Lepisosteus oculatus: one gene and its partner. The protein of the gene in region 1 interacts with the protein of each later gene in a pairwise test. Links are inferred from orthologs where the notes say so. Each region holds a gene or a part of one and is shown in the gene's direction. Other genes may lie near its edges. The genes, in order: ral guanine nucleotide dissociation stimulator and rras2.

Region 1 (16,335 bases):
AAATGAGCAGCGTTGATACGATAAGGCCACAGCGCTTTCCAGCTTGTATTTGCAGTGAAGTCATTGTTGTGTTGGCCTTTTCGTGGTGTCGCGTCTGCGCACGCAGTTCGACGCTGGAGGTTTGTGCGTGGGAGAGGTGAGATAAGTGATGTTAAGAAAGTCATTATACCACCCCTGCACTGGCAGCAAAATAGATCAAGATGTTTCAGTTTCGGAACGACACAGCAAAAGAGGCTGTCCACAGAGACTCAGCCTGTCAGGAGGCTGACGAGAAAAGATTTTTCAGAAACTGGAAAGTCAGAATTCGGAGAAAATGTCCATTTTAAAAACGGAAACACGTGTTTTTAAGCTTTTTATACTGATCATTGTCATCTGAGATATATTCTCTCTGTTTCATCCTAGATGATGTTTTGCTTTTTATTTTTTTATTTTTTCAGAAGCTGTTAAAAGCCAGCGGCTTGGTAGCAGAGCCATGCCCTCAAGGGCTGTGGTGCGCCCTCTGGTGGCTAGCACAGGTCATGCGGCAGTGGACGCTGGAAGGGCCTTAATCTGCCTGGAAAGATGCTTAAAGGGACTTTGTTGTTGTAGCTTCCTCCCTGCTCTTTGAGATGCACACCTCATGTCATACTTCTAGGAACAGCACAAAGCCTAATCAGACTGTGTGTCTCCACTGACGGGGAGACCTGCTCCGATTCCACATACAGTAAGCAGGAGTAAAAGGGAAAAGGGTGATGTTTCTGACGAGCTTATTCGTCATCATTTTATTATTTTTTCTTATGGTTGATTATTTTCAGTATTTTGTATCTCTAGATGGGTTTTGGAAATGGCATGGAGGAGAGCTCATGAAATTGGATCCCTTCATCTTAAATGAAAGATTGCAGCGGAGTCTGCGTGAATTTTGTTTTTTCCTGTTGCATATGAGCGAGCTCTGCACTGTTACGTAATAAGCAGTGCTAAACAAAAGATGGCACTGTTTGTCTTTTTCCTGCGCGGTGCACCCTGCTGTACCTTTGCGTTTTCAGGGTTGTCTCCTCTAAGACTCTTGACCAGCGTCGTCAGTGTCTGGAGCCTGCCCAGCTGTTGCTCTTTTCACAAACAGGAATAAAATCTCCTGTCTTGCACCTTCTAGATGTGCTTCTAAACCAACACATTGTTTGTAAAAAAAAAAGGCACTCCCTGAATAAAACCTGATTCACTGCCAGGCTCATTCTTGATTAAGGGTATCATTTTTTTTTCTCGAGAGGTTTCTACGGACCCTCTAGAGACCCGGGTTCGACAGCCCCTCTCCCACGTGATAACACACATGTCCTGGTTTGAGCTCATCACACACGCTATCCCTGGAGACCGCTGCACGCTCACTTTAATGTGATCAGTGAGTCACAGAAGGCCTCTCATTCAGTGATTCAGTGTCTGGAACTCTCTAGACTAGATCAGTGTTCTGACTACTAATAGAACTTAATGGAGCTTTTCTGCAAGCATGGAGTGGGATGAAATACATTATGCTACACCCTCCCACTCCTTTTCCATCTCGCTTCTGGTCTCCGTGAGTATCCTGTCATTACAGCAATTTCTGAATCGAGGGAAATGCTTTTCCGCGGATCTCTCTGGCATAAACACCCCACCCCCCCCACTGATCCAGGCTAGGAACGAGCCCAGAGTCCCGTCCGCCTCGCAGGCACAGGAAAAATTAGCCTCTTTCACTACCGGATCGAGGAATTCCATCGGATGTTCCCTTTTGTAAAATCTGATTTTTAGATAGCCAGCTCCGAGACAGTAAAAGCAAAAGAATCCCACTGGGTGCCTGAAAAGTAAGACCTGGCTCCGTGGTATGGCTGCCAGCCAGCAGCTGCAGGACGGGACTAGTGCCGGCTGTTCTGTGCCTGTTCTTGATAGAGTGTACAGTCCCCTGTCCGTTTACTGGCAGGCACTGTCTCCATACAGGGGTAGGGTGTCAAAAAGAATGTTTTAAGCGGATGTTTCAGTCCTCGGGTAGGCAATCAGGGTCATATTCCATACTATAAATTGATCTAGTTAAAGTTTATGATTGCCGGTGTTAAGTGTCACAATTATACGATAACCACTCAGGCATGCCCAGTTACACTGAAGTGTTGCACTGTTTTCCAGTATCCAGTCATTCTTAAAATAAGAGATCTGACTCATGATGGCTTCTTTGCTATTATTAGGATAGAACAGCACAGGAGGGAGCGGAATTTTCTGCACCAGGTGGTCGGGGGGGGGGTGACTTGTAGTCATTGCCCCCCAGTGAGGGCTGGGAAATGGCGCTCTCTCACCTGGGCCCAGTTCTGCATCTGTCTGTGCGTGAAGAGGTGCAGGGAGATACAGGGATGACCTCACCTCGCGCAGAGAAAGGGGTGTCCGTTTCCCATCACTGCCAGCACACAACAAATGCTCTGCCGGTAACTCTCCGCAGAATCCCCTGGAAAAAAACCTATGGAACTGTTAGGGATTTTTTCAGGATATTTCTGTTGCGTCGAGCCAAAAAAAACAGTGGAAAAACCGGACCAGGGTTTTGATTCTGTGCAAAAAGTGCTGCAGCCAAACGATTCTCAAAGCAGGATCTTGACTGTATAAGCCAAACGGTTTCCTCATTGCTTTCTGTGATTCTGAAATTATGGATCGTGTTCAGTTATGTACCATGGTAATAAAGGCTTGTAGTTTTAACTCAGTGCCACTGCACTTCGAGGAAAAATGAGGCGGAAATTTACAAGTGCTGATTGAAATTGTGGCATTTACTGCTGCCTTACAGCCCTTGGGTTTGATTCCAGAATAGGCCCCTCTCTGTGGAGCTTGCATGTTCTCCCTGTGCTCTTGTGGGTGTTCACCAGGTGCTCTTTCTTCCTCCCATCTCCCAAAAACACCCTGTGTGTGCACGTGTGTCCCGTCTGGGGTGTGGGATCAGGCTTCAGTTTGTCACAGATCTCGCAGGAACACGCTTTCTGATAATGAATGGATGAATTGGAATATTGTTCCACTTTTTTCATGACATTGATTGTAGATTTGGTATGACATTACTATAAACCAGAGGTTCCCAGTCCTACAGGGACACTGTCTCTGCTGGTTGTCGTCACAGCTGGGCTCTGCAGCTCCAGTGCTGATCGATGACCTCATTCACTGCTGTCATTGTATATGGAAGTTATGGAAGTTACCTGTAGCACGAACTGAAAGTTTTCTGCACACGTGTTGCAGTTCATTGTCTTGAGTGGCACAACTGTAGGCACGAGCGGTAAAGCAGGCTTTAAACATACCAGAACCGTGACTCACTGCTTTCAGGAAGAAACAGGAATCAGTGCCAGTAATCTCCTTGCAGTGATAAGGAGAATGACCTTACCCAGGCCGAGATAACACGTGTTTATTGGCACACTGGACTGTTTCCTTTTAGGTTTATTTACCCAGATGGCATCCATGTTTTTTTAAGAATTAATATTGATATCCACACATGGATCGTGTCAGTGAAGCAGAGGACAAACCACAGGGAATACAATGACAAATTAGGAAGACAGCTGATGACTGATGCTGGAACTGATGTAGTCGGATGTCATGAACAGTACAGGTGCCTCCCTTTTGCAACAGATGGATAATCCTATGTGTTGATCAGATACCAAACAGTGACAGATTTTAAGGTAGATCCTGGAGTGGATGGTTTTACTAACTAATCATATCTCGAACCTGTAATTTTTAAGACGGTATTTCATGGAACCTTGTGAGCCCAGAGGCTGGAAGATCTTACTTGCTCCAGAGTTGGGGTGTTCAAAAGCAGGTTTTCCTTGGCAAAGCTGACATCAAAATCTTCAGTGAATCGAACGCGATTATTTTCTTACAGTATAGAGCTGGGATTGCTAATCCCTCATGTCTGCACGGTGGTTTTGCAGCAGCACAAGTCTTTTAAGGAAGCATTGACATAGAGGGGATTAGTTTATTGACATCTGGCTGAGCTTGTTCCGTGTGTAATATTCACAAAAGACAGGCCATAAAAAAATAATTTGATGAGATTTAAATTCATTACCTTGTGAACTGTACCTCACCCCCCCGTCCTACCTCTGCCTAGCCAGCTGTGAAATTGGGAGAATGAAAGGCGAGTGGAAAGTAGAGGCAGGAGGAGACAGAAGGAGAAAGTACCGTTTGAAATGCAGACTTGAGCGGTTGCCACAGCAACAGGGGAGCTGGGTTTCCTCCGAATCTGATCCCCATCGGCCTTATGGGATTGAGGCCTTTGAAACTCGGGCTCCTCTCTCAGCCTTCACTGGTAGCGGTGTGTTCCTTTTGCCACGGGAATCCCGGTTCTTCGCCGTGCCCGTGGGGAGCGGCGGGGATTCGGGAACGCTAGCCGTCGTGTGGCCGTGCCAGAGACTGGCTTGCGAGTCGGGGAGCAGTGTCTCTCGCCTGCAGGCACCGATGAAATCAGGTCCCCGGAGAGCAATAAGACTTCACGAGGGGCGTCAGCCACGGGGATACTGAGGGCACTTCCCTGTTATTTATCGATTCTTCCTCTGTGGCTCCTGGATTTAAGTGGCCATCCAATTCCATTCTGTGTGCCTGAGCACAGGGGCGGCTCCACATCCCCCACGTGATCCCATCACCCTTCTCCTTCCTGGGGTTCTACAGCACCTGTGCCTAGTCACGTTCCAGTATTAACAAGCTGGGAGTATGAATTGTGTTGTAGATGGCTCGTCGTTGTTCCATTCTATGTTAGAATACTTTATTTCTTCTCTTTTTTTTTTCTCCTAGCCCTCTTTTCTAAGCAGATGGGGAATAATAGAGAATATTGATCCCATTTCCTTGATCTCATTCCAGGATTGCATTTCCCTTCTAAATGATATTTTAGGGGAATTTAATTTCTAGTTCCAATACAGCATGCAAATATTAATCATGATTAGAATCTTAGCTTTTTGGAAAATGTAATTTCAGACTATGTGTGTAGCATGTCTAGGAATGTGCAGATTATTAAGCCAGTGCTAGGATCTGTGTTATGGAAGACAGGTTTCCAGGAAGCCTAAATGCTGTAGGGCAGCACAGTAGCACAATAGTAGCATTGCTGCCTCACAGTACTGAGGCTCTGGGTTCAGTTCCTGGGGTACTATCTGCATGGAGTTTGTATGTTGTCTCCGTGTTCACATGGCTTTCCTGCTGGCGCCCTCTTTCCTCCTACGTGCTGGTAGGCGAATTGGTTTCTGGGAAAGCTGGCCCTGGTGCGAGTGTGTCTGTGTGTGTGTGTGTGTGTGTGTGTGTGTGCGCGTGCCCTGCGATGGACTGGCGTCCTGTCCAGGGTGTGTCCAGCCTTGTGCTTGTTGCTGGCCAGGATGGGCTCCAGCCCCCCTGTATTGGAAGAAGCAGTTAGAAAACGGATCGATGGAGAAGTACGGCCAGATTCGTTTTGTAGTCTCTGGATGAATATAAGGTATACGGATTATGAGTAGCAATCCTTTAGAAAACCAGTTACATGCTTGTGTTCCATTAATCGTGGCTTCCTGGGGGCACCAGAGAAGCACAGCAGCCCAGCTGTGTGCCTGTCCATTGGCAGAGAAAGGCATTGTAGTCTAGTCAGGTGGGGCGGCTTTCTCTACTCACAGCTGGCGCGACAGGAGGGAGCAGAACAAGAATGTAGGGTGGATGGGAAGTGGGATTCAAAGACCTGAAGGTCTGGTCTGGAGGTGAGAGGTACAGTAGTACAGTGTTCCTGCCGCAGCCTCTGGCATCAGGAAGCAGCCGGAGAGGAGTGCTGGGGCTCAGGCCCTCGGGCAGTCTCTGTCCCAGAAACGGAAACACTCTCGCCTGCCCGACGACACTGTGGGCCACTGCGGCGCTCCCCCGCGGCTCTGGGGTTTCCAAGCACTGCTCCAGGAACAAGAGGGCTCGTGAGGAGAGAAGGAAATATTTGCAAGGAAGGGCCCTGACGCCACCGGACCCACAGCGTGAAAGGCTGAAATACTGTAACGCACACACCCAGTAAGAAGAGGCAGCAATGCGATCGTCTGCCCTGCTGTGAAATGATACAAGACCTGAGAACAAGAACAAGAACAAGAACAATCAAAAGGAAACACTAAGCGTTCACGGAAATTGATGTTTCCAAAGCAGTAGTGTTTAGTAGAAACTTGTTTTCAAGTATGAAGAGCAGGATATTGATGACACTTTAAACATCGAGTCAATCTTGGAGAGATTTAAGGCAAAAAGACAGGGAAGGAGGATGGGGACGAGGCTGGTGGCAGGAGCCGGTACAGTCTGTGCAGCTGCGTTTCCGCGGAGCAGCTGCTGTAGAGTTCGCCGAGTGCCTGCCGTCACGGTGCACTAATCTCCCCCTCACTACTTCCTCCTCGGGAGAGGGGCAGAATACCACCAAATTAGCAAAACCGTCTTAGAAATCAAGTTACAGCAGCTGCACACGTGGGGCTGCCTTTCTCCTCCACAGATGTTCACCTCCACCCACTGGAGCCGGATTCGGAAGAAACGGAGGGGTGCACATCTTCTGGGGGTGTGGAATAACGGAGCCCCCGTTTTTGGTTCCAGTTTAAGCGTGTGGACTGGGCCCCGTGGTCTACAGATCTCTAGTTCCTGTCTTTGTTGTGTCTCGAGCTGACTGTGACTGGCAGTGAGCTTGGTGACCCCATCTGGCAGCCCTGTGGCCCCGCAGCTCCCAGCTGGCAGCCCGCTGAAGCCCAGCAGTGAGAGCCTGGCCAGTACCTGGAGGGGAGACCTACTGGGAGAGCTGAGGCTGCTGCTGGAAGAGGTGTTACTACTGTCTCTCAAATAAGGTCTTAAATAAAAACTTACATTTTGCCAGAATATTTTGAGAACTGCAAAGAACATCACTGGCACCAGTAAAACGTATATGTTCTACCCACCTCAGAATATTGAACTGAGGAAGACCTGCCTTCAAAAATTGTGACTCTGTTTTTCACATCACATCACTTTCAGTAACCACTTATCCCATTCAGAGTCACAGAGAGCCAGAGACTTATCAGGAAGCAACAGACACAAGGCAGGGTACACTGTGGACGGGACGCCAGTCCATCACAGGGCACACGCAGACACACACACACACTCGCCCCAGGGCTAGTTTCCCCAGAAGCCAATGAACCCACCAGTTTTTGGACTGTAGAAAGACACCGGAGCACCCAGAAAGGAAACCCTACATGAACATGAGGAGAACATGCAAGCTCCACACAAATCCCAAAATGAGCAGGTTGATTCCAGTTCAGTACTGTAGTGGGTAGATGGAGGAAACGCGACTTACAATATCAACATTATTAGTGTCTTGTAAATAAGGTCATTGGGAAAGAAACAGATTTATTTTATTTATAAGAGAGTCCTTTCATCGTGATGTAAAGGAGACAAAGCATCCTGCTAACCCCTCGTGACCACAGTGTGACTTTATACAGAACAATGACCAGAGAATGACTATACCCACAATATCCAGCTATTCTTAAAAGCTGACGGGTCATCTCCAGTCAACCCCTGGGTCTACTGTATATGAGCTGTGGACACTAGCAGCCGAAATGCCCATTCATTGCCCTGTAGCTGAAGCTGGTGCGTCAGCTTGCCATGGAGGTAGAACATTCACTGGTTACAAGCCAGACTGATCCCAGGATCATCCAAACAGTAAGTGAAAAAAAAACACAGATAATCAGCTTCAAAAACACGGGCGGGTAGCTTGTTCCAGACTCCCACCGGGTGTCCCTGGACAAGGGCGCAGGTGATAACAGCAGCCGCTGGACACGGGGGTGCTGCTTATTGGAGTGCGGGTGTTTTGTCCCTCGCCCTCCCTGTTCTCTTCCGAGTCCCATGTGCATATGTTGTCTGCAGTTGCGGTTTTTTTTTTCTTCTGCATTTCAGAAGACTGCCCGCTGGGTCAAATGAAGCTTCATTGCCCCTTATGGGTTCAGTGTAAAACACTCAGACCCCAGTTTGGCCCCAGTGCAGGAGCAGGATGGGAAATCGCACCCCTGCGATTGTTAAAATAAAGAAAGCGCGCACGTGATTAAAACCTGCTCTGATCTTAGCTTTCCCTTCTGTTGTACGTGGTGGGTGTTGGATTAGATGCCGCCAGAAAGCCACGTTTCAGATTCCCAGCACAGAGACATGCTAATCAAAGCTAGAGTTGCTGGCATTGAAAAAGCCCAGAAAAGGCAATTCTGCATTCGTAGAGAGAACGACTCCAACACGGGAACCTGCAATTCCGAGTAAAAGCCATTAATCTTGCATCCCACCCCCCCCCCGAAAAAACAAGGATCATCTCCTCTCCAGACCTAATCCCTTTTCCCAAATCAGTCGATACTTCCAGCACACAGAGTTTCAACACAGGTAATAAACTCAGGGCTGTTTTCAGTGCGCCCAGATTATGTCACTGGAGTAATCCCTCATAAATAAGAAATGTGCAAGCACTTGTGATGCAGCACAGTTAAAGGCGAGGAACAGCCCGTGCTGCTGTATAGCTCGTTTTAAACGGGTCTTTGACCGGTTTGAAGGAGCTGCCTGGCTGAGATGCGTTATCCCGAAGAGACCCCAGTTCTGCAGACAACGACCTTCCGTTTCTGGCACCACCCACGGCCACGGAGGAGAAAAACAGATCCCCCGCACTTCGGAGAAACGCGTGTCACGGAAAGAAAGCTCAGGGGAGGGTTTAGTGGAGACCATAATTATCCAGAAGCTTCGGCCACAGTACTTCCCACTGTTTATACGGTCAACAGAAAACACCGCGTCGCTGGGTCCCGAGAGGAGAGCCCATTCACGCTTTCGTGCCCGAACTGCTAGAAAACGACGCGCTGCCCCGTTTTTTTGTTTTAGAGTAAATGGGATGGGACGGGTTCGACCACGTTTAGCAGCGACACCATTCCCTTTGCACCAGGGTCCAGCTCATGAGAAATGGCTCTTTCCTCTCTCTCTCTCCCCCCCCCCGCTTCGCTCGGAACTTGTCGTCTGCTCGGGTCGAGAATGACGTCATGGATCCTCTGCCGGGCCGGGGGGAGGGAGGAGGGGGCGGGGACGGGGCGGGGCCTCCGCTCGGGAGGGGGCGGGGCGGGGCCAGCGCTAGAAAGTAGCAGCCGAGCAAGAACTACAGAGGCGAGAGAAGCAACAAGCGCAGCAATGCTCTTTTAGACGCCCCCGTCCGTCCGAGACAGGACTACGGCTTTCGCGGACACCCAGCCCCGTCGGACATGAAGCAGAGGGCGCGCAGTCTCGGGTCTTCTCCGGTGTAGCGGGATCCCCGTCACCAATGGTGTACCTGATGCAGTCCGAGGTGCACAGCGTCTGCTCGGGGAGCCCCGATATGATGTTTGATGCCAGCGCCTGGAGGATACGCAGCATCTGGGACGGGGTGAAGCTGGAGGTGGCCGGCGAGGCCAGCCCCGTGGTGCTGCACAGCTTCACTCAGCTGGACCCCGACCTGCCCCAGCCGGAGGTAAAGCGCTCCGACCTCCCTGGGAGGTGTGCTCCGTGAGAGCTGGCGCCGCTCAACATCGCTCAGTAACAGATTGCTTGAGATTCTGGGTTGTTTTTTTTTTATTTTAACGAGGGCTACGGCGAATTGCATACTACATTTACGAGCTGTGGGTTTGATCTGTGCTGGAGAAGCCAGGCAGGCGGGGTTCTCGGAAAATTGAATCCCGTGAGCTGTGGCTCTGCGTGAGAGAGGAGCTTTGCGCTGGGGGGGTTAGTGTTGTGTCTTTATCACCCACAGCGACCCCCACAGTGTTTGTAAATACGAAGGCTTTCTCGCCCCTTTGCTGGCACGGCTCTGGAGTAATGCGGGGTAATAAACCGGTGTCGGGGAATCTGTGGGTCGCGCCTGGGGTCGGTACAGTGTACAGCACACCGTGCCCTTGCCCAAAGTCCGATGTGGCTGCAATGTCAGAGGCTCAGAAATGTTAGTATGAGGTGTTCTGCTCCTATTGAGACGTGTTTCCGTTTCGGGTAGAAAATGCGTTTTTTTCCTCTCAGACGTTTCCGTGATTGTCAGAGGATAAATATGTACTCGAGACGAGTGCAGCACTGTACATTGCTGTGTAACGTGATCACCAGGCAGGCTTATTAAAAGGACATGGCAACAGAGGACATAACTGGGACTTCCAACGAGCTGGGAAGTTTACTCCCAGTTTTACTAGAAGTGCCGGTGCTCCCTCAAACTGTCTTCGGAAGCATGGTGGAATGTGACACGAGTTTCTTCCGTCAGTACAGTCGTGCAGCTGCTAGACACTGGCGAGGAGTTCGGTGTGTATTGTAGTGCTCTAGTCTTGAAGGGAAACAGCGCAGCCTGTTCTGGACTGAACTTCAGGATATCTGATTGGATATCCTGGTGTCATTGTGGTTTTGATTTGCAAGAGAGGTAGGGAACGGACACTGCGCACCTCACCCAGGGTGCGCCCTGCTTGGTGCCTGTTTCTTGCTGGGGTGGGCTCCGGCCCCCCATGACCCTGAATGGGATGGTAGAGACCGATACAGAAGGAGAGTTTACCCAGCAGTCGGGCGCGTTGTCCTTGCAATGCATCTTTGACTTTGACGCAATGTTATCCTGGTCACCTAGCTCTCTGATTGAATTAAATTTTAAACCTCACTATTCAGCGGTTGTGTTGCTTCATTGTGGGGCTGTTGCTAATTCCCATGTGTGGCACTAGGAGTGCCGGTGCCGTCTCCCTCTCTGGGGCTGCAGGTTTCGGACACTGTCTTCCTCTGTCAGCTGCCCCCATCCCAGCCTCGCAGTGTCCGATTGTCCGATGACTAATTCACCCACTCGGATTGCCTTGCAGTGATCCAATTCAGTATTCTGGGGGCTCTGCAGTAATTCAAAAGGCAAAATATTGGAAAAAGGCCTGGTTTTTTAGTCATCGTGGTGATTAGATTCAAGGGGCTGGAGTTCTCTTGCCACTTTACACTTCATTGTGCAGCAGGGTAATTTTTTACAAGCCATTGTCTTTGAGTGGCAGTCAAGAGTTAATGCGTGACCTGGCCTGTGTGCCCCTTCAGATATTTCTGAGCAATGTTGCGCCCTAATCTCTTTGCAAAAGCCTTTTATTAACTGTCGTGTTGAACATGGATTAACAGTGAAGGAGATCCTGTGATCCTGGTGGCTGCCTGGCAGATCTGAAGAAAACCAATCAAAAAACTCCACTGAAAAAAGATGATTGGATTCTCTTTGAATGGGCAATGTAGTGACACCCCTTGAAAAATCTAGGAATAGTTCACTTGACTATCCTGCTTTTATCTTGGCGCTGATAGCAGGTTTGCCATTGTCGTGCTGCTGATTTCTGCCAGGGATACCTGTGAGCCACCTGTGAGGGTTCAAATCTCATCATTTGTCCGCAAAGAAAGGTCTACATCTACAAGGCTGCACATATTTTTAATTCCACCTCCAATGACCCTCATTGTTATAAATATAAACCTCTTACACCTATTAGAAATATTACATTTAATTTCTTCTTAAAATACAGTTGTCAGTGCTCCTCTGTTTCATTTTGTTTCTATGCATGGAGTGGAAAAACAAGTGAATCTTTTCATCAAACATAATACAGTCTGTATTTGGTCTCTTTGAACTAATTGACCCCTACATCTCTCTCTTTATGGGGAAACAAATGCACTTTGTGACCCTCAACGATGTTGACATATCCTATTCATACTCATTCAGCACGTGGGGATTTCAGATCAGGAGTGGTCATTTTGTCTGTGTTTGAAGGATGCATTTTTGTACTGCCTAGTCCCTTTGATACAAGGGACACTCGGCAAAAATCTATATTCTCTAATAAGAGAAGTGAATAAATAATCTAATTTGCTTCTGTATTATGTAAAAAGCTTTTAAGATAAAAGGAGGACACGGGCAATAGGAGCAAAGACAGGCCTTATTATTGACCATCAAGCACATCGTCTAATGGGCTTCTGTTGTTCAAGCTAATCAATGGTTATGGCTGTTATTCATTTTAATTTAATTCTGAAAGGTTTATGTTCTGTCTCTGTTTATGCGACTGGTTTGGTACATTTTGGCTTTATATTTTCCCTGTATTGAGTGAGCTTCTTACATGAGCCTTGAGCGTCTGTCCTAGTGAGGAGCAGCTGGAGAATTTGCCCCAGCAGTGTACTCTCTTTCATCAGTGGAGAACGCCCACGAGAGTGGCCTTAATGCACAGTTGAACAGCTTTTGGAGATTTTCGGTCTGTTTTTTTTTTTTCTGCTTTCGACCCAAAACCCAAAGCAAAACAAAATACAAATCTTTCTATGGCTCCGGCTTCATTTTGTCAAAGAGTCACAGAGTTAAAAAAAAAAAGCTTGTTAGAAACGGGGCCGCCTGACCACTGTGCATGCCCCACACAGGGCGGGCTCTTCCCACTGCGTGTACAGTGACTGTGTTCTCTGACCATTACGATGGCCTCTAATCCCCTCGCCTCTAATCCCATTGTCAAATTCAGGCTAATCTGCATTCTCACTTCAAGGTGCAGTAATCCAAAACTTTTTCTAGTGCATTCTGCATCTGCTCATCAAAGAGTGCTCCAGACTGCAGTGGGTGAGTGTTCCTCCGGCATGTTCCAGGAGGGGAAGATTCCCGAGTGATACAGCTGTATTTACTCTCCCTCCTACCCATTTCCAGAGTGTATTTTCTTAATCGGCCACTTCAGATATGAATCTTCTCAGATCCCTTTGTCCTTCAGTGTTGTGGCGTTGGTCCTCAGCTCTTTCCAGAACTCATCACCTGACAGTCCTCCAAATTGGATGCAAGGATTTCCTGCGCCGAGCAGAGGATTTGTTTTCCTTCCTGACTTGCAGATATTCCTTTGTTTAACACAGCTAGTTGTCTTAATATTCCGAACGACTGCGGAACTTCGGCTGCGATTGCATGAGCTTTATGCCAAGAGGCTTTTGAGACAAAATGTGTCACGAAGGTCTTTGCTCGCCTGCGAGACGTTTCTGAGCTGAATTCCAATCCGCGTCTTGCTCACAGGTGACGTGGTAGGTTGAGGCTGTGCAGAGCTGGAGAGGGGGGGTGGGGTTGTGAATGGTCCTTCTGCCTGCATTGATCGCTGCTCGTGTTTCAGGCTTTTTGAGAAGCCGATACTGTATCCCAGATCAGATGCGGGACTGAACATGTGTTCTTCTGCTGGGAGAAGATATCGCATCGCAGCCTGGGGGGAGGGGAAAGTCACTAGCTCATCGGCCGAGTTCTGCACTGGGGGCGCTCGCTCATGGTTGACTCCGAGGAGATGTCTGTGCCTGGATGTGGTGCACAGAGGACAATTCGATCGATCCCTCGATTCTTTTAGAGGGCGATATCACATCGCAGACAGTTCTGCTGCTTAGCCCTTCCTCCTACATTTTCATACCCCTCTGATTTGCACCACAAGTGACAGAGAAACTTGCCCCTTGTTTTTGTAGGCGTTTTGCATTTGCAGATTGTTCAGTGACTGCGCGCCACAGACCAGTCATTCCGCGAGTCTTCTGATCTTCTGTAGGACAGGACAATATGAGAAGCCCAGCTTATTTCAAAACAGGAGGTTGAAGGCTTGTTCCTTTGACACACACTCAACGTGCTTGCTTTATGAATGCAAGCAGAAGTGTAGAGCTGCTAACTGTGACTGTTAGAAGCTAGATCGCATACAGTACTGGGCTGTGCCCGCTGCTCTCGGCTTGCAAGCAACAGCTTGTGTTGTTATTCAATGAGGTGGCGAAGCTCAGAGCTAATTGGGTCAAAGGGTTAGGCAGCAAAGCTTTCTGCAGCAAAACTCGGCTCTGCAGAAGGAAGGACGTGGTTTTTATTTTCTCATTTTTTTCAAACGGCATACGCCCCCCTAGGAGTCTCGCTTTGCTGACTTCTGCAACAAAATTCCAGAGTTTTTCCATTTCCTCCCATTAAAGCTTTTTCCAAATTACTCATCCAAGTTTTGTTTTCTCTTTCTGTATTTTTATGCAAACTACTCCGGTCAGAAGCCTGCCACGGTGCCGTAATTAGAAAGCAGGCTAATCTGCGAAGACAGAGACTCTTTTGTGGCCTTTCTATTACGACCACACAGAGCTGATCTTCGGGGGGCTCTGCTCTGTTCAGTGGGACTATTTTTAGTGCCACATCTTGTTTTCGTTTCTGCAGTTATTGTGTTTTTCTGCAGCCTCAGCCCCTGGCTGCTGACATCAGGCTGCGTGGGCGCTGATTTACGGTCTCGGGATTTTGGGGGTAAACATCTGGTTCACCCCCTGGGAATGCGAGGAATGGGAAGCACTTTTTTTTGCGATTTTGTTGTGTTTCTTTTCTCGGCGAGAGCTGCACGCCGCCGGCATTCTCGTTTTGCAGACTGTTTATTAGTTTTGCAGATTCCTGCACAGAGAGAATGACAGGCGCAAGGAGAGAACCATGTGTGCTTCGCTGTCTGAACTGGAAATGCCTTTTCTCTGTCCCAGAGCAGCTCTTGTGTAATCAGCTCTGCCTGATTCATTCAAGGCAGCGTGACTCAGTGATGGAGCTGAGGGCTTCTTGGAAGGCTTTCTGGTATCTGTTGCATTAATCAGGATTTTTACTGTTAAGTCGGAGGTTTAAAGGTTGTCCGTTACATAGCAATCACTATCTTTCCACAGTAGTTTTGCAACTCTTGAAGAGACCCGTTTGCCCCAGGAAAGCAGAGACGAAACATTTAAAATTTCGGTCCAGATTTAAAGCCCGGCCGCTGTTCAGGATCGGTCTTGCAGACGTGTGACAGCGAAGCACGCCCTAACTGCATCCCCGTCAGGTCGCAGCTGTGGAGGCCGTGTGGGTGAAATCACAGCTTGGACTGTTTTAAAAAAAGAAGGAAAAGCATGTCAAGCCTAAAGTGGCTTCAGAGGTTTGCCTTCTGTTTTGAAAATGCCTCGGAAGCCTTTGTAGCTGTCCCAGCCCCAGTGTTGGGCGAGCTCAGCTGCGTGACGTGGCCGAGAGCTGGAGGTGACTCAGTGTTTTGTAATAGCAATATCAGAATCTGCTGCGGTCGTCTTGTTTTGCCATTAGCAAAGCGCATTTCTCCATCTGCTGTTGTGGGTCCCCCACCCTTATGTTATCAGTCGCTAACTGACTGAGAGCCCGCTGTGAAAGAGCTGCGGGTCACGGTTTCGGGAGACAACGATGATGAGGGCGAGATTCACACAGCGAACGAAGCCTTCGGGCTCCGAGCAGGGAAGAGTTTAAACCCTCCTGCAGCAGATTCGCCTCGTCCGCAGAAGCTGGACTGATCGGGGGGATCGGGGGCCTGACCAGAGAGTGGAGAACCCGTTTTTCCTCCACCCTCCGTGTAAGGTCACGCTCGCGTCTTGATTGCAGCATACTGAGGTGAGATGGAGCAGAAGGAAAGAGGTGCAGAGCTGGACCCTGACCGCAAAGGAAGCAAAGGAATGATCCATAAGGGCACGCGGGCTCGCGTTTCCTGATTTAGTTTTAACGAGGCTAAACCATGTGTTCCTCTGCTGTGGTGTGTGCGCTTGGGCTGCCAGCTCAGAGGCCTGTCGCTGGCCAGGGCCGGACCTGACTGCCTTCCAGCGCACAGCCCTGACCGCTTGGCTGTGTGGCTCTGGGAGGGCTCGGCTGGCCAGCCGGGCGCGGGCGGACAGCAGGCCTGCTCCGTGGCTCAGGGGGGGGAGGGTCAGGATGGGCTTGCACACGCGTCTGTGTGACCAAGTGCGTTTGCGTGGGGACCCTGCAGCCCAGTGGGACGGCGGGCTCTTTGGCTGATTATAGCAGATCATTAAACCTCTTAGCGATTCCCCTGGGGCCTTTGGCCGTTGAAGTAAATAGCGTCAGAGATCGCAGCCTGTGCTTTTCCGACGCATCCCGTTTCATAACCATCAAAGCAGATCTCCATTCGGCAGTCCTTAAGCGGTGCCTTTCTTAAATGTATTGATGTGGATTCAGTCAGACAGATTCAGTCTGCGTTATTGATTGTCTATGGAAAAGAGAGAAGAGGGTGGTGTGCTGCCAACGTTTCTGTTTCGGATCACGTACAGCCAAACCTGCTGGCTTTGCCTCAGCTTGCTTTGCCTTCAGTTAAACAGTCTGTCTCCGGGTGTCACTGCGAGTGAGAGAGCGCTCTATCTGCTCACGAGCAGCACTTCCGTGGGGAAACCCCGCCACGTGCTCTCCTGTCTGGAAGGAGCTGCAGCCCCGAGAGGCAGGGAGCGGCGGGTCATTAATCCTGTTAACGAGCGCCTGCGTGATCGGCTCTCGGTCCCGGTCCGCTCTGGAACGGTGGTCCCCGTGTGAAACTGGGACCAGGGGAAGCCTGGTGGGACAGTAAAGAATCTGGGGGGTGGAGTTCAAGTGAGACGTCTCCTCCTTCATTCATGCATAGATCTCCTGTTCCTTCTGTAGGGAAGCTCACCTTT
Region 2 (16,309 bases), on another chromosome or scaffold:
CCTCTTCCAAGGCTGATGGGCCCTCTGGCCATGTATGAAGTTCCTGTATTACCAATAGAGAAAATGAAAGCATTTATCAGTGTCTGGGATTTCCAAGATGCCTTAACAGTGTAGCTCTCTGTGGTTAATTCTAGTGGAATGAACAGTACCTTGGTTACAATTCTGATGAAGAATGTAAGAGGAAAGGGTCCATCATGTTGATTGACCTATTGCAGTGTGACTAGACAGTTCAGATACTCTATACCCAGTGGCAGTGGGATGTTGGGCTTTTATGGCTCAACACATGTCCCAGTTTCTCAGAGATATGGTATTTAATAGACAGGAATTATAGAGAATAATCTAACTTCTTGATATACCATGTCTTGAGTTGCAGTTGTTCTTCATACAGATATACACACACAGGCACAGATATACATATTTGTTTTGTACAGGTACAAATAAAGTTTTCTGTTATTCTTAAGTACCTTGGTAGTTTTTTTTAGATGTTAAAGAATACTTTAAATTTCAATGTGGGATGTTTTTTGAAGAAATGCCAATGAAAACTAGTAATACTAAAACTCAACAGGAATGTGACCCAGGCAAGTGTAAATCTAACAAACTTTCCCATTGTTAAATTTGCTGAGCTGTTCAGGGAGGCTATGGTTCTAGAAGTTAACTAGGGAATCAGACTTAATTGAAATTCCTGGAATTCCTATCTCTCTGTGTTACAGTGTGGGAGTCAATTGGAATCTACTCATTCAACAATCCAAAAAGTAATCTTTGAGCAACAGCCCAGACTCCAGGGGGAAAATTAAACCTATAAACAGATTTTTCAATGATGTAACACCCACCTATGCTCTATAAATAATTTAGTTTCAGAATTCGGCAGAAATTTTAAGAAGAAATGTTCTTTGTGACTGAACTATCTGTCGTATAGGATTCTTGCAGATAAAATTCAAACCTGTTTCAGGCGAAAAAACAAAAACAAACATCTTTAACATACAGTATAGCACTCTTTTCAAAATAATCTACCTACTCACCGCTATTGTGTTTTACCATTCAGTATCAAGGCAATCATTTTTAAAGCAAGCACAGAATACAATAGTGATTCCTGTGAAGAACAGTAATAATTAGTATTCTGTAAAGCACATCTGAACCTTTCCAGATACTTTCACAAAATTTATATCTGAAATAAAATACAAACTAGAGAACTTAAGCAAGACACTACAGGTAACAAGTAAATATAAAAGTTAAACAACAAGTGAAATTTATAGGCCACCTAATGCAGGCAAAGACACAGATATCTTTCAAATAAATATATCCTTTTTTATAAAGTAGATCCATCAGTATTGGATTATTGTAGTAAAACTGATTGAAGTTTTACAAAAGCTTAGACAAGAATATCCACAGACTGGAACCAGGAAAGTAATGACCAATGAGTCTTCCTTCTTTTACTGGTTAACCTATAGGAACAACAGCTATAGTTATATTAGAAGAAGACTGTACTTTCACAATTACGGCGTTTTAAGAGACTGCCTAATGGGATTTAAAGGAAGGCTTTGTTAATGTAATTTATTAAAATGATTTAAATGAGCCACAAGGACAGTTAATCACACCAGAGCACACGACATAACAAAATTAGATTTCTAGATAGCTTTTGCCAAGGGCCTTCATAAAAGGTTCATTTTATAAACCAGAAACTTTAGGAATCCAAGACGATGAATGAAAATAGGACAACAACTGCTTAATAAACAGGAACTTGCATGTAGTTTTAAGGCTTATGCTCTAATTGGGCACTTATAAGCAGTAAGTGCCCTGCGATGGACATCCAGGGTCCCATCCAGGGTTTATCTTGACTTGCACCTGTTACTTACCAGGTTAGGCTCCAACTTTGCCTCAATGCTGAATTGGATTGTGATCAGAAGAGATCAGAAAATGGATGGAAACAGTAGGTACTACAAGCATCTGTTACAGGCCTGTTGCAGATCTTGATCTATATCAATGATTTCATTTCTGGCAGAATTAACAAGCTATTTAAATTTGCATGTGATACAAAAATGAATCTCACACAAACAGCAGCAAGGAATAACAAAAAGGCAGACCAAAAAAAGAGGAACCTGGCAAATTTAAAACAAATTTAATGCTGAGATGTGCAAAGTAATCTATGCATCATGTCAGAACATATACTGTACAAACTGTATTGCATTGGTGAATCTGAGCTGTAGGAAGTAACACATGAAACCAATCTGGGTGGTTATATGGATTCTATGTCCTTATCAAGACAATGTAGGGAAGCAATGAAAAACAAACAGAATGCTTGGGTGTACAGCAGAAAGCAGCAGAAGTTATGCTCTCACTTTACCATGCTACAGTAAGTCCTAATTTAGAATAGTGCTTGGTTTTTAGTCATCATACCAAAAAAAGGATATTCTAGTCTTAGTGTTCAATGAAGAGCAACAAGAAAGACTCCTTGTTTTAGGAGATTGACATGATAAAGGAGCTAAACATCTGCATAAAACAAAGGAGATTGAGAGATTTGATCCACATATATAAAATTGTAAAGGGTATAGGTTTGCCCCAGAGGATCATTTCACATTCTGCAGTGAAAGAAGAACATAGGGTCGCAGTTGGAACCTAAAAGGCAATTTACGGGATATAGAACAGAGAATAGGAAACTTTTTTTAAAAAAAAACCTGCGACTATCTGCAACACTCCCAGCCAGGTGGCTGAAGCCTGAACTCTGGGCTCATTCAAGGCTGAACTACTAGAGGAGGAAGATGGACTGAATGGCTTCCTCCCATTTACAAACCTTTCTTATGTAAAATCTGACCTTCATAAACCCATGAGGCACTGGAAACTTCCTTACAGCATTATAGCAGCATGAGCGAGCCCTTCACAGCTGTAATGTGTAAAAGTGGGCATCAGTGTGAGACTCTAACAAAAGCAGAAATCCTTTAAGCGGTAAAAACTGGCGACATTAAAGACCATACATGGCTCATTTAGCTCATCCTGGGCATTTTGGGACAGATTCTGCCACAGATTGTGCTTGCAGTTCTGTCATATGATTATGCTGCCAGTACAAATATGTAGCGTTGATAATGGTATATTATTACATGTCAAAAACCTGTACAGCAATATTACACTTTTGTTCAAAGCAGTTTAACACTTTTTTTAACATGTAATTTTTGATATCCATTTATACAGTCTGCCTTGCTGGAGCAATTTGGGTAACATGCCTTTTTCTAGGATAATAGCAGTGTCCCCACCCAGGGTTGGAACCCAGAGCTCTGACCACATTCCTTGACATGCATGATGCGGTATGTGTTTCAGTTTGATTTTGTTCACTAATTTGTTGTTATTGAAGCTAACATTTTATTTCAGTACAATCCTTATATTCAGTCTTTAATGCTCAGAGGTTTCCCGTTAGCTACTGAACTGGTTTTAATAGCAGATGTAATTTTAACAATTGTAGGGCTACTGTGGTATGTTCAAAATTGCATGAACCACATACTTAAAATACCCCCTTTTAAATACGAGAGAGGAAGATTTAGTGATAGTTCTAATAAATAATAAATTTGAAAGATGAGAATTAATGGAACCTTAGATGTTTTAAAGAACAACATTTAAGAAGGAATAGTTTATATGGAATAACTAATAACTTTATTATATGAAAATATTTTACATACTGTAAGTAGAATAAAACTTCAGTGAGTACTTTGCACAGAGCTAGGCTCTTTACCATTTTCTGCACAGTGTTAGACTTTACACCATTATTGAAATGCTTCAGCAGGCACTCAGTCAGAGCCACTCTTGAAGCCTGTAGTTTATACTGCATTAAAACAGTATGACTATTTGCACTTTGACAGTATTGGCTGCAAGAACAAGGTAAAATAATACACCAATAATTGCGAAGCCTGCAGTGTAATGGGGGTTGGTGTGGAAGTTGAGGCTTCAAAGAAAGATCAGAATTTCTCTGCTACTGTACTATATATCAGACTTCTTAATAAAATAAACAAAAAAAAGGAAACCAAAATAATCTGATTATGCATTTTGGGCTGCTTTTCTTGACCGCATGAAGATCATAGTAAAGGTCAATGTTGTACATCCAGTATAGCGAGTGTGAATTTGTGGGTGCCAAGTCTTCTCCGGCCAAGAAAATAATAAACTAGAGGCCAAAGACTTTTGGAAGCAGAGCTTATTTTTAATGTGAGAAAGTGGAATGAATTTAATGACTAATTAATACAAATCTGTTAAAAACAGAAAGAATCTACATTATAGTGTTTTCACGAGTGCAGAGTTTTAATCAGTGATGAGAAAAGTGGTGATCATGAATGTCAGAGCAATAAAGGTCTCTAGATTAATGTTTATTTATAAGAGGCATTCAAAACATTTTGAAACTCCAGAACTTAAGACACTGACCATTGCTCTGTTCTACAGGACATATACTTACATTTCCCTCTTATCTTCATATCCATGTTGTCATCTGTGCAAGAATTTTGCTGTTTTTTCCAGAGTGATTGAATGATAGACTTTTCAAAACCCAAGCAATTATTTTCATAAACCCTGGCACCTCAAAAATGTCTTGACAACAGCAGAAGGCAAACAAAAAGTACCAGAAAAAATGTGCACCAGCACCAGTTTGTCATTGGTAGTGCAACAGAAGTGATAAACACCATGATGTCTTATCGGAGGAAGCAGCTCATCTCTGATTGATGCCACTGTAAGCCTGCACACTCATGACCTAATCTAATATCTAATGACCAATTTAGCCTAGTGGCGCTTTGCCCCTTGTGCACGACTGCTTGGAGAATCCTCATCACAATCGGCTAATGACTCCATTGAAGCCCAAATCTGCTCTGTCTGGCCCATAGAGCCCAACCTGTCCTTTGATCATACATCTATATTAGATTAAATGATCCACTTGGGATCAATATCAGACAATCAATTTAATAGCAGGCAATCATCAACAAATACCTCAAAATGGTTGTTTCAGAGCTCTGTCTAGCATAGAAACCATTGCTTTTGGAGAAATAGATGATTTAAGATAGCTGGAAAGTCATCACCTGCCCAAAACCTTTACCCAGGTAAAGACGATTTGGAATACTTGGATACAGTTCCCAGACTTATTATGGATTTTTTGGGTAAGGGGCAAACAATTGATTTTGTGAGGTTATTAGAGACTATTTCTCATAAAATTGTACGGTCAAAGATCAAACAGAAAGCTCATGCTAGCACGCGAGTACACTTTTAACAAACTGTAGCTGGTAAAGAATCCAGTACACCCTCACTAACAAAATAAGATCCTAAAATCATCAAGCCTATCAGTATGCAAATCCAGGGAAGGAAGAAAGAGTCAATTCCATTTGATCTAGTCTGATTGTCAGCCAACAACAAAGAGAGTTTTATATACAGTTCCTAGGAATGTAGTACTGACTGTCTAATTGAGAAAAGAATATCCAGGATAAATTACTTCTTCGCTCGCTACATCAGTGCCACAGCTAGAAGTCAGCATTACAGTTTTTATTTAAAATCTGGTTTGTTGAGTGCTTGAATCATTGGTCACAGATTATGGTGACCATTATTGATTAACTCAGCGTAAAAATTAAAGCTAGTTAAAATTGAATTTTTGAGTACTCCTGCCTAATTTCAAGGTAAATTAGTGATAAAGCTTTTCCAGCCGTTTGCCAGATTTTCTCCAAGCCTTTTCAAGTAGGTAGCCCTTCCTTTTTGAAATGCTAAAAATTCCAGTGCAAAACAATATGTTTTATATGAGCAACATAATTTTCAAAGGAGCATGCAGATACAGAACATTTATCAATATCACATTATATTGCTCAATGTGAAAATCAAGGGAGAGACTACCAGAGGCCTCTGAAGCCTCCGCAGACTAATGACATCTGAAGGATCTCTGTCTACTTGAGCGTTTAATTGCTGGTCTTAAATTAGATTTGAGCAATTACTAGTTTATGCCACAGAGATTAAGGAAAGAAAAAGACATTGGTTTTATTTCTGCTTTTATATTAAGATAATTTAGTATTATTCTTATTATATTGCTCCCGGTGTTTGTCTGTTTTTTTGCAGCTTTTTACAGGAATAGTTTTTTTATTTGGTAAGTTTCAATTCTTCTTTGACAAAGTAATGTAATATGTCATAAGAAGAAAAGTGCTGAAAATATTCTGCTTTGCAAAAGTCTTAGACATTTTGCGCTATTCTACACTTTTCATTCAATGTTCTTCCATTTTAAACAGATATACAATTTGGGGGTAATTTACTGAAGTATTTGCAAATTGTTTAAAGCTAACAACTAATATTGATCATTTTTTGTTGTAGTGAGGTTTTGGAGAAATAACCTAATGATATCAATAATGAGCAACATATGATAAATTTTAAATTACATTTGATTGCTGTATTGCTACTATAGCACTTCATACTAGTTGCTTTTACATAGTTTAAATTGAGTTGTTATAATCGAGTTTTCTGAGATTCTCATCAACGTGAAATTCAAAATGACTTCTAAATAACAGACTTATCAATAACAAATTGTTATCAAATTGTTATGATAGTCAAAAACACTAGTGGAGGCCTTTATTTTTTGCAATAATATATTGTACAGTAGCTCCTGATTCTGTGTAACATAAGACCCTTACACTGCAGTTTATATTTCCATAAAGATATGAGGTAAAACGGTATTTTGTGCTTATCAAATGACCAATTCTCAAATTATCCTGCTATCGTACGGTATTATTTTTAATTTTGTGGATACCGATGAAGAAGAACTCAAAATACTTAAACAGCTGGCCGGCTGACTTTTTGGGAGACTTGTTTTTCCAAACATTTTACAACAGTTCACAGCACAGGCTTGGAAACAGTGGTTTTGACTTCCCTGTCAACCCCCAAGTGACACAACTTAGCCAAGAGTGAACAACCACAAACAACACATGCATAACCATCAAGACCTCCTTCTTTAAGTTTATATTTAGAGTTTTAGGAAACCTGAAATATAAAAGATCTCTGCCAATAACACAAAAAGGGTGAAATAGAGCATTTGTACGATTCACATTTTAACCAGAACTGTAGCCTGCCAAATTGTCACTTACAAGTGTCCAGTTCGCTAACCAGAGATAACATTTTCAAATCATAAACAGACATTCTGGCACCCACAAGCTGTTGCTAATTTTGACTCCTTGATTCATGTGAACAAATGTTTCACAGATGACCATTCCCATAAACGTCCCTTGGTAATTTCACAATCATGGATATAGATGCTAATACTTCTTTGGCAACAATACAGGCAAAATATATCATGATTAGAACATATGAATGAATAATAACTAGTAAGTATTAGCAGTGCAAATCACATGGATTACAGCAGTGCCTAAAATTCCAGTTGTATTCCTTATGATCCAACTTTGAAATTATAATTGTGTCACTTGTGACATAATACAATTTCCTAATTAAAAGAGACATTCCGCTTATCCCTAAAATGATCAAGTATGAACGGATAAACATATAAAGTTTGTAAATTCAATTAAACTGTTTAGATAACCGGGATTATTACTATTTAGATCATTCAGATCAAAAACATAACTAGATCGGGGAAGTAAGTTTTTGTTGTGACATAATTACATCATTAAACACATTTTCGGAAAAAGGAGCCTGAACATTACAGGTTGGTTAACTGAATATAATGAATTAGTATTGCTGTAACAGTTGATCACACATTGATCAGTGAGTTAAATCACTTTATAGTAAGATTGCCATATAGAACAACAGCCTCCTAAAGCTGGCATTAAGAGCCTTCTACTTAAAACTACTGCTGCCAAAACAATGTTGTTCCCTTTGACAAGCATTTGAAAATATTGCATGTTTTATTTCTGTGGTCTGGCATTGGCAAATAATATAGACTATAGGATAGGGATTTAAGAGAGAAAAAACTCTTTGTCAATATCGTAAAGGGTGATATTCAAGGTTTATCCCTAAACCATGCAGTCTAGTAGCATCATGTCATGATATTGCATTTGTGATGGATCCTGATATCTCTAATCAGGTTTTTGTATGTTCCGTAATGCTGTATTGCATTTGCAACTATAACTGTTTGCTGTGCAGAAACTATTCTTTACATGGTGCTCTCAGATGTGACAATACTATAACTGGCTCATCAACACACATGGCTGATCAGTCCTGGATTGATTGCTTCCTGTCGTTGAGTCATGCTGAAGGATCCAAGTGATGATGGACAGGTGGTCAACGAATAACTTCAAGGTCCTGTAACTTTACCAGAGCACATTCTTTCTCTCTTTTACTGAGTCATGCCTGAGTTAAGTGCCGTTCAAACTGAACTGTGTACCTTCTTCTGTAAGCAAACGTCACCTTTGCAGATCCAAACACACTCGTAAACTCAACCGACTGTCACAGGGTTTATTTTTTATAGTCCGGAGGTTATGAGGAGTAGAGAAGGAGTATGTGAGTTCTACTATCTATGGCGATATAACAACTACTCCTACTATCATACTCGAACAAATTTTAAAAAAAAGTAATATACCCCTGAAGTAATTCAGTATAGAGGCATGTTTCTCTTGATAAACAATGATACTATAGAGATATTCGTTTTTCCATACAGACAATAAACTAATTTGAGATTAGAAACATATCTAAACATTTCTAAACAATTTGTCATGTGACGTGGTTTCAGTTTTTACTGAGGGAATCCTTTCCAAGTGAACATGTTTTTTTTCTCTTCTGGAAGCTTAATTCCATTTGATTTGAACGAATGATCATATTCAGATGGCGTGGATTAACCTCATATGCAAAACACACAATTCTGAAGGTTTTGTTAACTTCAGAAATTAGATACTATAATTTCATTCCTTCCAAACTGTAATAAATAACTCAGGCACTGCAAACAATTAGAGTTGTCGAGTTATTAGCGTTATAAATGTGACTTCAAAAGAGTCTTCTTATAAGAGAAACATACTGAGCAGTTTTGTTAGATATTTCTGCAAATACAATTACAATCAGAAAGTCAGCTGAGCTTTGGTCGAAAGTTATTTCTAAAGAAATGAATGAAGATAGAAATAATAAAGGATTCATGTACTCTACTTGCTACAGGCAAAACACCAACATGATTTACCTTTGAATGTTTTTATAAAGTCATAACCATTAGACACTCCCATGGAAAGAAAATGTCAGTCTTTCAATTTCATTTTCTCTGCTCTAATGTAGAAGTGTGGCTATAATAACGAGCTCACACTTTCATATTGTCAGTGCTTTATATTTTAAAATATGTGTTGCCATTCTACATGGCAGATTTTATCAACATCATACATGAAAGTGAGAAAGGACGTGTTTATGTTACTTTCATTAAGTGTGTTATTTTTTGTATTTTGCATTTTTTTCTTGTTCTACTCTGAAAACCAAGGGAATTCCGGTCCACAATGCATTTTTCAAAGACCCCAGTAATCAGTTATTTTATAGAACACATTTTAACAGTGAATATTATCTCTCTTACAGAGATTCCAATGAGGTAATAGTCAGGTTTCAAAAAGTAATTTACACAAATACATTTACAAGATAACCTCTAATTTATCACTTGCTTATACTTTCATACAGTGTTTCAGACACTGCTATATTTATTACCGAAAAGCACTTGAAGATGATTTTTCTCTGCTTTGAAATACGATTGTCATTGTAGTACTGTTGGAAATTAAGTGGTATATTTGTGTTAATCATGTTTTGCTGACGGGTATACATCACCCATTGCCTACCTTTTTGCAGCTGAGAAATTAATATTTTTTCTAGCAACTTTAAATGCAGTTTGTTCACTTTGTAATGTGGGGATATTTAATCCTTCCAAAAATGTGGAAGGTCAGTGTGTCTAAAGGTTTTTTAGGTCTCGTTAAAGCAACAGTACCTGAAAAGCTCTTTACTCTTTACAAAGTTTGTCTTTGTTACATTAAACTGCTTACCCAAATATTTATAGAGAATACTGTTCGGTTTCTTTTATTTTGTTATGTTCAAGAACCACTGTTAAACTGCTCATTTTGTTAGGCATACCCATTTCAAAATCCAGACACAAGCTAACAAAATTCAGTTCAAAACATTTAAATGTTTACATTTTTAACTTTTACAATGTTTTATAGTGAAAACGCTTGGGAATTTTAAATCGAACAGATCGTCTAAGGACTGTATTCCTGTTTTACAATATGTCCCATAGTTAAATGAGAATTAAAACATCATTTTTCATAGAAGTAAAGAATACTTATAGCAGAATGCGCCTGACAGAACTGCTGAAGGCTGCTTGTAGCATCGTGCGAAAATACAACCTCACAAAAGGCATGTAACTTTTGATTTATTTTTTACGTCCACTTCATACATATTCATAGCTATATCTTCGCTGAAGAAGGGCCCCTAGCGACGGCCATTTGTAGTAACTGATTCACTCCTCTGTTCCACATTTCAGTGCAGCGCTGCAGTTGGTAGCGTTTTCACAGGAGGGCGTATGAGCTGGCCGGACCGACGCATTACAGTGTGCACTTTTTTCCTTGAAAGACAGAAAATTAACTCTCTCTCCATCACACGGATTACGGCTCTTTTTAAAAGAACAATAACACAGCCGCAGCCGCCTTATTTCCCCCCGAAACATTCCTGCAGCCAGCAGGCCTGTCAAGAAGTGGGTGTCTGTTCACAGGCGAGGAAGGCTGTGTTTCCCCGATGGCTGGCTGGAAAGACGGCTCGGTGCAGGAGAAGTACCGGCTCGTTGTGGTGGGAGGCGGTGGTGTCGGCAAGTCAGCTTTAACTATCCAGTTCATCCAGGTCAGTAAACCCGGTGTCTTAAGGCGTTGCTATTTTCGAGGGGAGCCTTATGGAGGAAGAGGCGGGGGGTCGTTGCATTGAGTAAGGGGGCTCCTACTTGCGGAAAAGGGGGGTCTGACCTGTTATTACGGTGGCTTAGGCCTGCAGAGCACCTATAAAATGATATTTCCCCCCCACCAGAATTGCTGGTTTTAAGGGGGCAAATGAAAGTTTCGGGGTTGAGGAGTAGTACCCACCCGCATGCAGCCGGAGGAGACGCTGTAGTTTCAGTGCAAACGGACAATGAAGGTGTGGACTTCGATTCCTCAGCCATGAATGACTTTGAAGTTGGTTTCATCTACTTTAGCGCTTTAGAGTTAAATTGCGGTTAAGTTCTTTTTTTAATAAGTAAGGTTAAGAATGACATTAGGTTTTTCTGGGGGACGTCATCTAAGATAAGGCTTCAGTGCGTGTGTTTTTAAAGATTCGAGATGAGTCCCTTCGCCTCCTAAATAGGTGTAGTTTAGGAGTATAACTGATTTAAGTCGTAGGTCACAGCTCCTTCCCCTGACTTGAGCAGCTCCCCTTTCAAAAAAAAAAAGTTTTTGAAGTGGTTTACGCATTCAGGTAATAGATTTCTACTCGCATGGCTTAAGTGCTACGTTTGCCCTGATATAAAAGTTCCTCTCAGTAGTTTGTAATTACTTTTCTTTCCAAAGGGAGCTGAGTAAACAATCAGAGTAACAGGGCGGATCGTTTTTTTTGTTCAGGGATCTTAAACATTTGGAAGAAAAAAAGAAAACATTTGCCCTGCGGTGTTACTTCTTATGTAAACGTTTTTAAAAGAAACAACGCCTTCACAATCGAGATGTTAGTTTTTGTTTGATCTCTCAGTCTTGTCGATACTTCGGGGAAAAAACAATGTACTGAACAAGACGCTGGGGTGTATCGTCTATAGAAAGTGCAAATACGCGAGTTTGTGTGATAGCCGAGAAAGTAAAAATAACTTTAATGCGCAGTTACAAAGGGCTGTAATAGTAGGAATATGCACATAGCTGAAAATAAAAAAAAAACTGGAAGCTGGAGCGGAGTTGAAATAAAAAAAAATATATTTTCGCTTACTAATCCACCCGTGTTGTCTTTTTAAATCGACACATTTCTTTCTATCTAGATGTCCAGATTTTCAATCTATAATCGTTCGAGCCACACCCGCTTTTGAATGTTTTTAACACAAGGCTACCAGAAAGAGTTTTGCTACTTTTGACTGGAGCTGAAGCCTGTGTATATGAATACTTTAAATTTAAAATGTAAAAAGTAATTGTTTGAATAATGCCGCATTTGAATAGAGCTCTTTTATAAAGCTCAATGCAAATGTGTAAATGTTCCGTATATTAATGACTTAAAGATTTTATTCCTGAATATGCGTGAAATCAGCATGTCAGTGGTATACTCTGTGGATCTTTATTTGTAATAACGGCATTTTGTTATAAAACACCTGAATATCTGGCATAGTTTAGGATGCTGTTCTTTTTCCAATAACCCATCACCCAAGGTCTGCAGTAACAAGTTAGTTGTGGCAGAACAAAGTGAAAGGCAGTGGTAGTTATGAAACAGCTGTCATAGAAACAGCTTTTCTTCAGTTGTCATTCCTCGCCTTGGCACAGATACACTAAATTCCAACTGATAGCCACTTGTCCCCCGCTTAAAGAAACATTTTTTTATCACAAAGCATCTGACTTCCCTTTCTTAATTTACAAGGTAAATCAAAGCAATATTGTTTAGGAAATGATAGGAAGTTTTTTAAAAGAACTTTTAGACTAATGCTTTTAGACCGTTTTCTGCTTTGAATTTAATATAAATGTGCCAATCAAAAAAGAAATCCTGTGCATTGATTGGCTGGAAAGCCGGTGTTTGAATTACTGATCTCTGTTCACTGACAAAAATGACTCCATTATCTTTTAACCAGAAGGTGGTTACTGCACATTCAAGTGTTTTTTTTTTATTTTGAGATCACTGGAATGCTAAGCTCATCTAACTCTCAAGTTTAATCAGGCTACATGTCCTAAATGTATAAAATGGAATGTGTTCAAAATAGTTTAGCAGCATAGCAGTGAAATACTAATGCTTTTGGTGGAATCTCTAGTCTTGTTTTTCTGAGAACAGGTAGACCCCTTGTCCTGTTGTTCTGTTTGTTTCCAATTTATAAGATAGGCAAAAGCCCATTATTGTTCTTTCATGGACATTAGTAGGGTTGGGTTACAGACTTGTGGTTGGTCCTAATAAACCTTTTTCAGTCTGATGAGACACTATCAGAGCTATGCTTGAAGTGTTGTTGCAGAATGTATAACACACTGACCATATGCTGGATTTCCAGACTTATTTTTATATTATGTTTGACTTTAGATATGCTGGTACTTTATTTTTTAGCTCTACAATCCTGAAGCTGTTATCTGCTCCCTTTGAAAAGCATAGTTAATGTCTAATAGGGCTGGGAAATGAGGAGTGTTTTGTGTTTTTTCAGTCTGCTATGTGTAATATCCAGACTGAGACTGTGTTTGTAGACTGTAGATGTATTCTGTTGGATTGCTTAGTAGGACTCTAGTCACATTGCAGTTGGCATAACTACATCACTGCCACTTTCTGTGAAGACGTCCGTACAAACTTGCTGAGTTATTCAAACCATTCAGCAGAAATTTTGCCCATTACTTATAACAACTTGTTTGATAGTAGTGGTTTCTTTTAGAGTGGACACAAAAAGTAGGAGGCTGTATTCATACCAAATAAAATAATGTGTCAAAAGAGTCGTTTGTTTTCTTGCTCTGTACACAATCTTACAGGTTATTTAGGTTTTAGACATTTCATTTTCTTGAATATTAAAATGTATGGTTTTATTTTGTTTTATAAACACGCTGTTTGCAGTGAATGTTAAAAAAATGTTCACTAATTAGCTTGTTTGAGGTTTTTATTTATTTTATTGTAGATTTAAAAAAAATAAGCATAAGGTACACACTAAGAAAACAAACATCTTATAGATTGTAACAGTGAGGCAGTGGAAGATGAACAACAACTTGAAGAACACTGAGAAACAAATCGCTCAGCTGTCTATATGTCTTCCAAGCAATTCTGTCGCAGAGGACAAATGGTTATGCACAGCATTTATTGTTTCAAGTATTCTGCCGACTTATTGGTATTGGACAATATCCAAGCGTCTTAAAGTGAGAACTAATTCATTCCTCAAGATATGGTACATATTTGTGAGAAACACTAAACCAAAAACATGGACATTTAAACACTGAAATAGAAAGCCATCTGCACTAGAAAGTAAAAATAATGTTTTACAAATTAAAAATTAGTACCACCACGAGTGTCACTTCAGCAACCTTTATGAAACCTATTGATTTGTCATTGCAATGAAGGGATACAATTCACCACAAAGATAGCGCACTCTGTTGTATTTACAACTGACTGGTATCACTGATAAAGGACAGGACAAATAGAATACCAATTTATACTTTCTAATCCATTGTTGTTCTTAGGGCAAGGGAATCACATCATAATTCATTCATTATAGGAATGGATCAGTTGGTTCCACGTATTGATAAATCATGCAATTCAAAAAAGAGAATTAATGATGCATTGCCAAATGATATCTACATAGAGATAAGTCAAATCAAGCAAATTAAGATTTAACTATGGAACACTTCTGTTTTATTTTGTTAAAATCAGGATGAAGAATAAGTTTTTATCAGGCTGTACATGTATCATTGCACCAGATATGTGGAGGTCAGTATACACAGTATTTCTGCACTTGGATTTTGTCAGTTGATGAGGTTGGGAATGTAGCTTGGGCCTGGAATCAGCTACTGTATGTTGTGATGTTCATAGTGGTTATTTGGAGAACACGTCCAAATTCCAGTGATATTTTTCTTGCGAGCTTGTTGTGAATAATTTATTTTTAAGCTACGAGTAGAAAGAGAAACGGTGAGCTCTGTTGTTTGATTGTATTTAGACAGCAAACAAAAAAAATATGAACAGGAATACTGGGTAGGAGGCAGCTAGACATTCTATAGCTTTTCAGTCCTTGTTGTTTCCTTTGTAAATTCATTACCAAGCAGCGAGAGCAAGTGGTAGAATTGAATAATGCACTTATGTCATCACTATCTGTTACCACAAATAAACTGGTTCAGAGGCAGTAAATTCTCACTGCCGTGCCCTTAAGGTCTACTGACTAGTGTAGGAACTACATTAATCTAACCTTGAGAAAAATCAGTGTTTTTTCTGTAGTTACCATTTTGAAACATTTCTTATGTGTTGAATTGCATTTGGTTATCTCAATGAAAGCATCATGTATTGAAAACTATGTAGCTGGTGTTATCTTACCTGTTTTGGGATTGTACTTGGTATATAAATTATTTTTAGATGTGTGTTTAAAGAAATAATTCTTATTTGTCACTATACTTGATTACAATTTTGTACGAGAAATTAAACAGAGAAGTACATGAAAGTTTGTGGCATGTAAATAACCTGTTTTGAAAGGAATAGTTGTGGTTGTTTGGTTATAGTGTACACAGAATGCTAATGTATTTAACATGTTACTGATGAATAAGATTTTAATGTAATTTATTTGTAGCATGTATTGTCCTTTCTCTCATTTAATTAGTAATTCCATTCCTCTGAAACAGCACTTATTCTGGGAGAATCATGAACTGCACATTTATAGTAAAGCAATGCATAAAGATATTCTCAATTCTTGTGCTGATAGTAAAAGAGCTGAGCTTAATAAGCTTAGCAGCTTTTAATTAACCTTTTGAAGACCATGTGAACACATATCCCCTGTCCTTTAAGGTACAGTGGGCTTCCATGATGTCATGATGATTACGTGCTTGTAAAAACGACATTAAAATCTAAATAATGTTTCTGAAAACAGTTGCAGGAACTTCTATTCTTCACACATAAATCGGTTAACACATTGTCCTTCAGAAAATAATGAGAGCATTATTCTGAGTCATGTATGCTTGATGGGAGAAAACTGGAATTATAGTCTTGGAAATGGGGATTCATCGTTACATTTGTTCTCCAGTGGTTTCTTTGATAAGCTTATAGGAGGGGAAGTATGAGTCACAATGTGACTCGGAGTACCTATGGGATGTTATCTTTGCTAAGCATTAGTATTGAAGTGAAGGGGCAGACATTAGGCAATGACAAAGTCAAGAGACTGGACTTCAGGAAGCCAGGGGAGTGTTGAGTGAGATGTTAGCTTTTTCCAAATGAACAAAATTTCCCTTTTATATTATTATTCTGTGATGAGATTATATTTTCCATCATAAAAATGTTTAAAACAAAAATTCCATACTTGCAAGCAAATTTCATTCTTTTTCCCCTGTATCTTATTTATTGTAGTTTTTGCTTTGTTTGCATAGTAACGTGAAATGCATGTAATTACTAAATGGGCTAAAGCAAAGATCAAGCTCTTTCTCTGTGTCCTTTCGGCTTTATCTGAAGATCAGTATGTCACTCCATATTCCTGTATCGGCCCCGA

What was found.
Region 2: the proteins of ral guanine nucleotide dissociation stimulator (region 1) and rras2 interact in a two-hybrid assay, tested with the Homo sapiens proteins (2 studies listed by BioGRID and IntAct). The link is inferred for Lepisosteus oculatus from reciprocal best matches to the Homo sapiens genes RALGDS and RRAS2.

Annotation. Positions count from the first base shown.
Region 1 is NC_090719.1:15,002,006-15,018,340, reverse strand, and holds the start of ral guanine nucleotide dissociation stimulator, read left to right. Parts: upstream 1-9,048; 5' UTR 9,049-9,229; coding exon 9,230-9,415; intron 9,416-16,335. UniProt on the Homo sapiens protein: Functions as a guanine nucleotide exchange factor (GEF) activating either RalA or RalB GTPases and plays an important role in intracellular transport. Interacts and acts as an effector molecule for R-Ras, H-Ras, K-Ras, and Rap.
Region 2 is NC_090716.1:10,232,556-10,248,864, reverse strand, and holds the start of rras2 (ras-related protein R-Ras2), read left to right. Parts: upstream 1-10,409; 5' UTR 10,410-10,689; coding exon 10,690-10,791; intron 10,792-16,309. UniProt on the Homo sapiens protein: GTP-binding protein with GTPase activity, involved in the regulation of MAPK signaling pathway and thereby controlling multiple cellular processes. Regulates craniofacial development.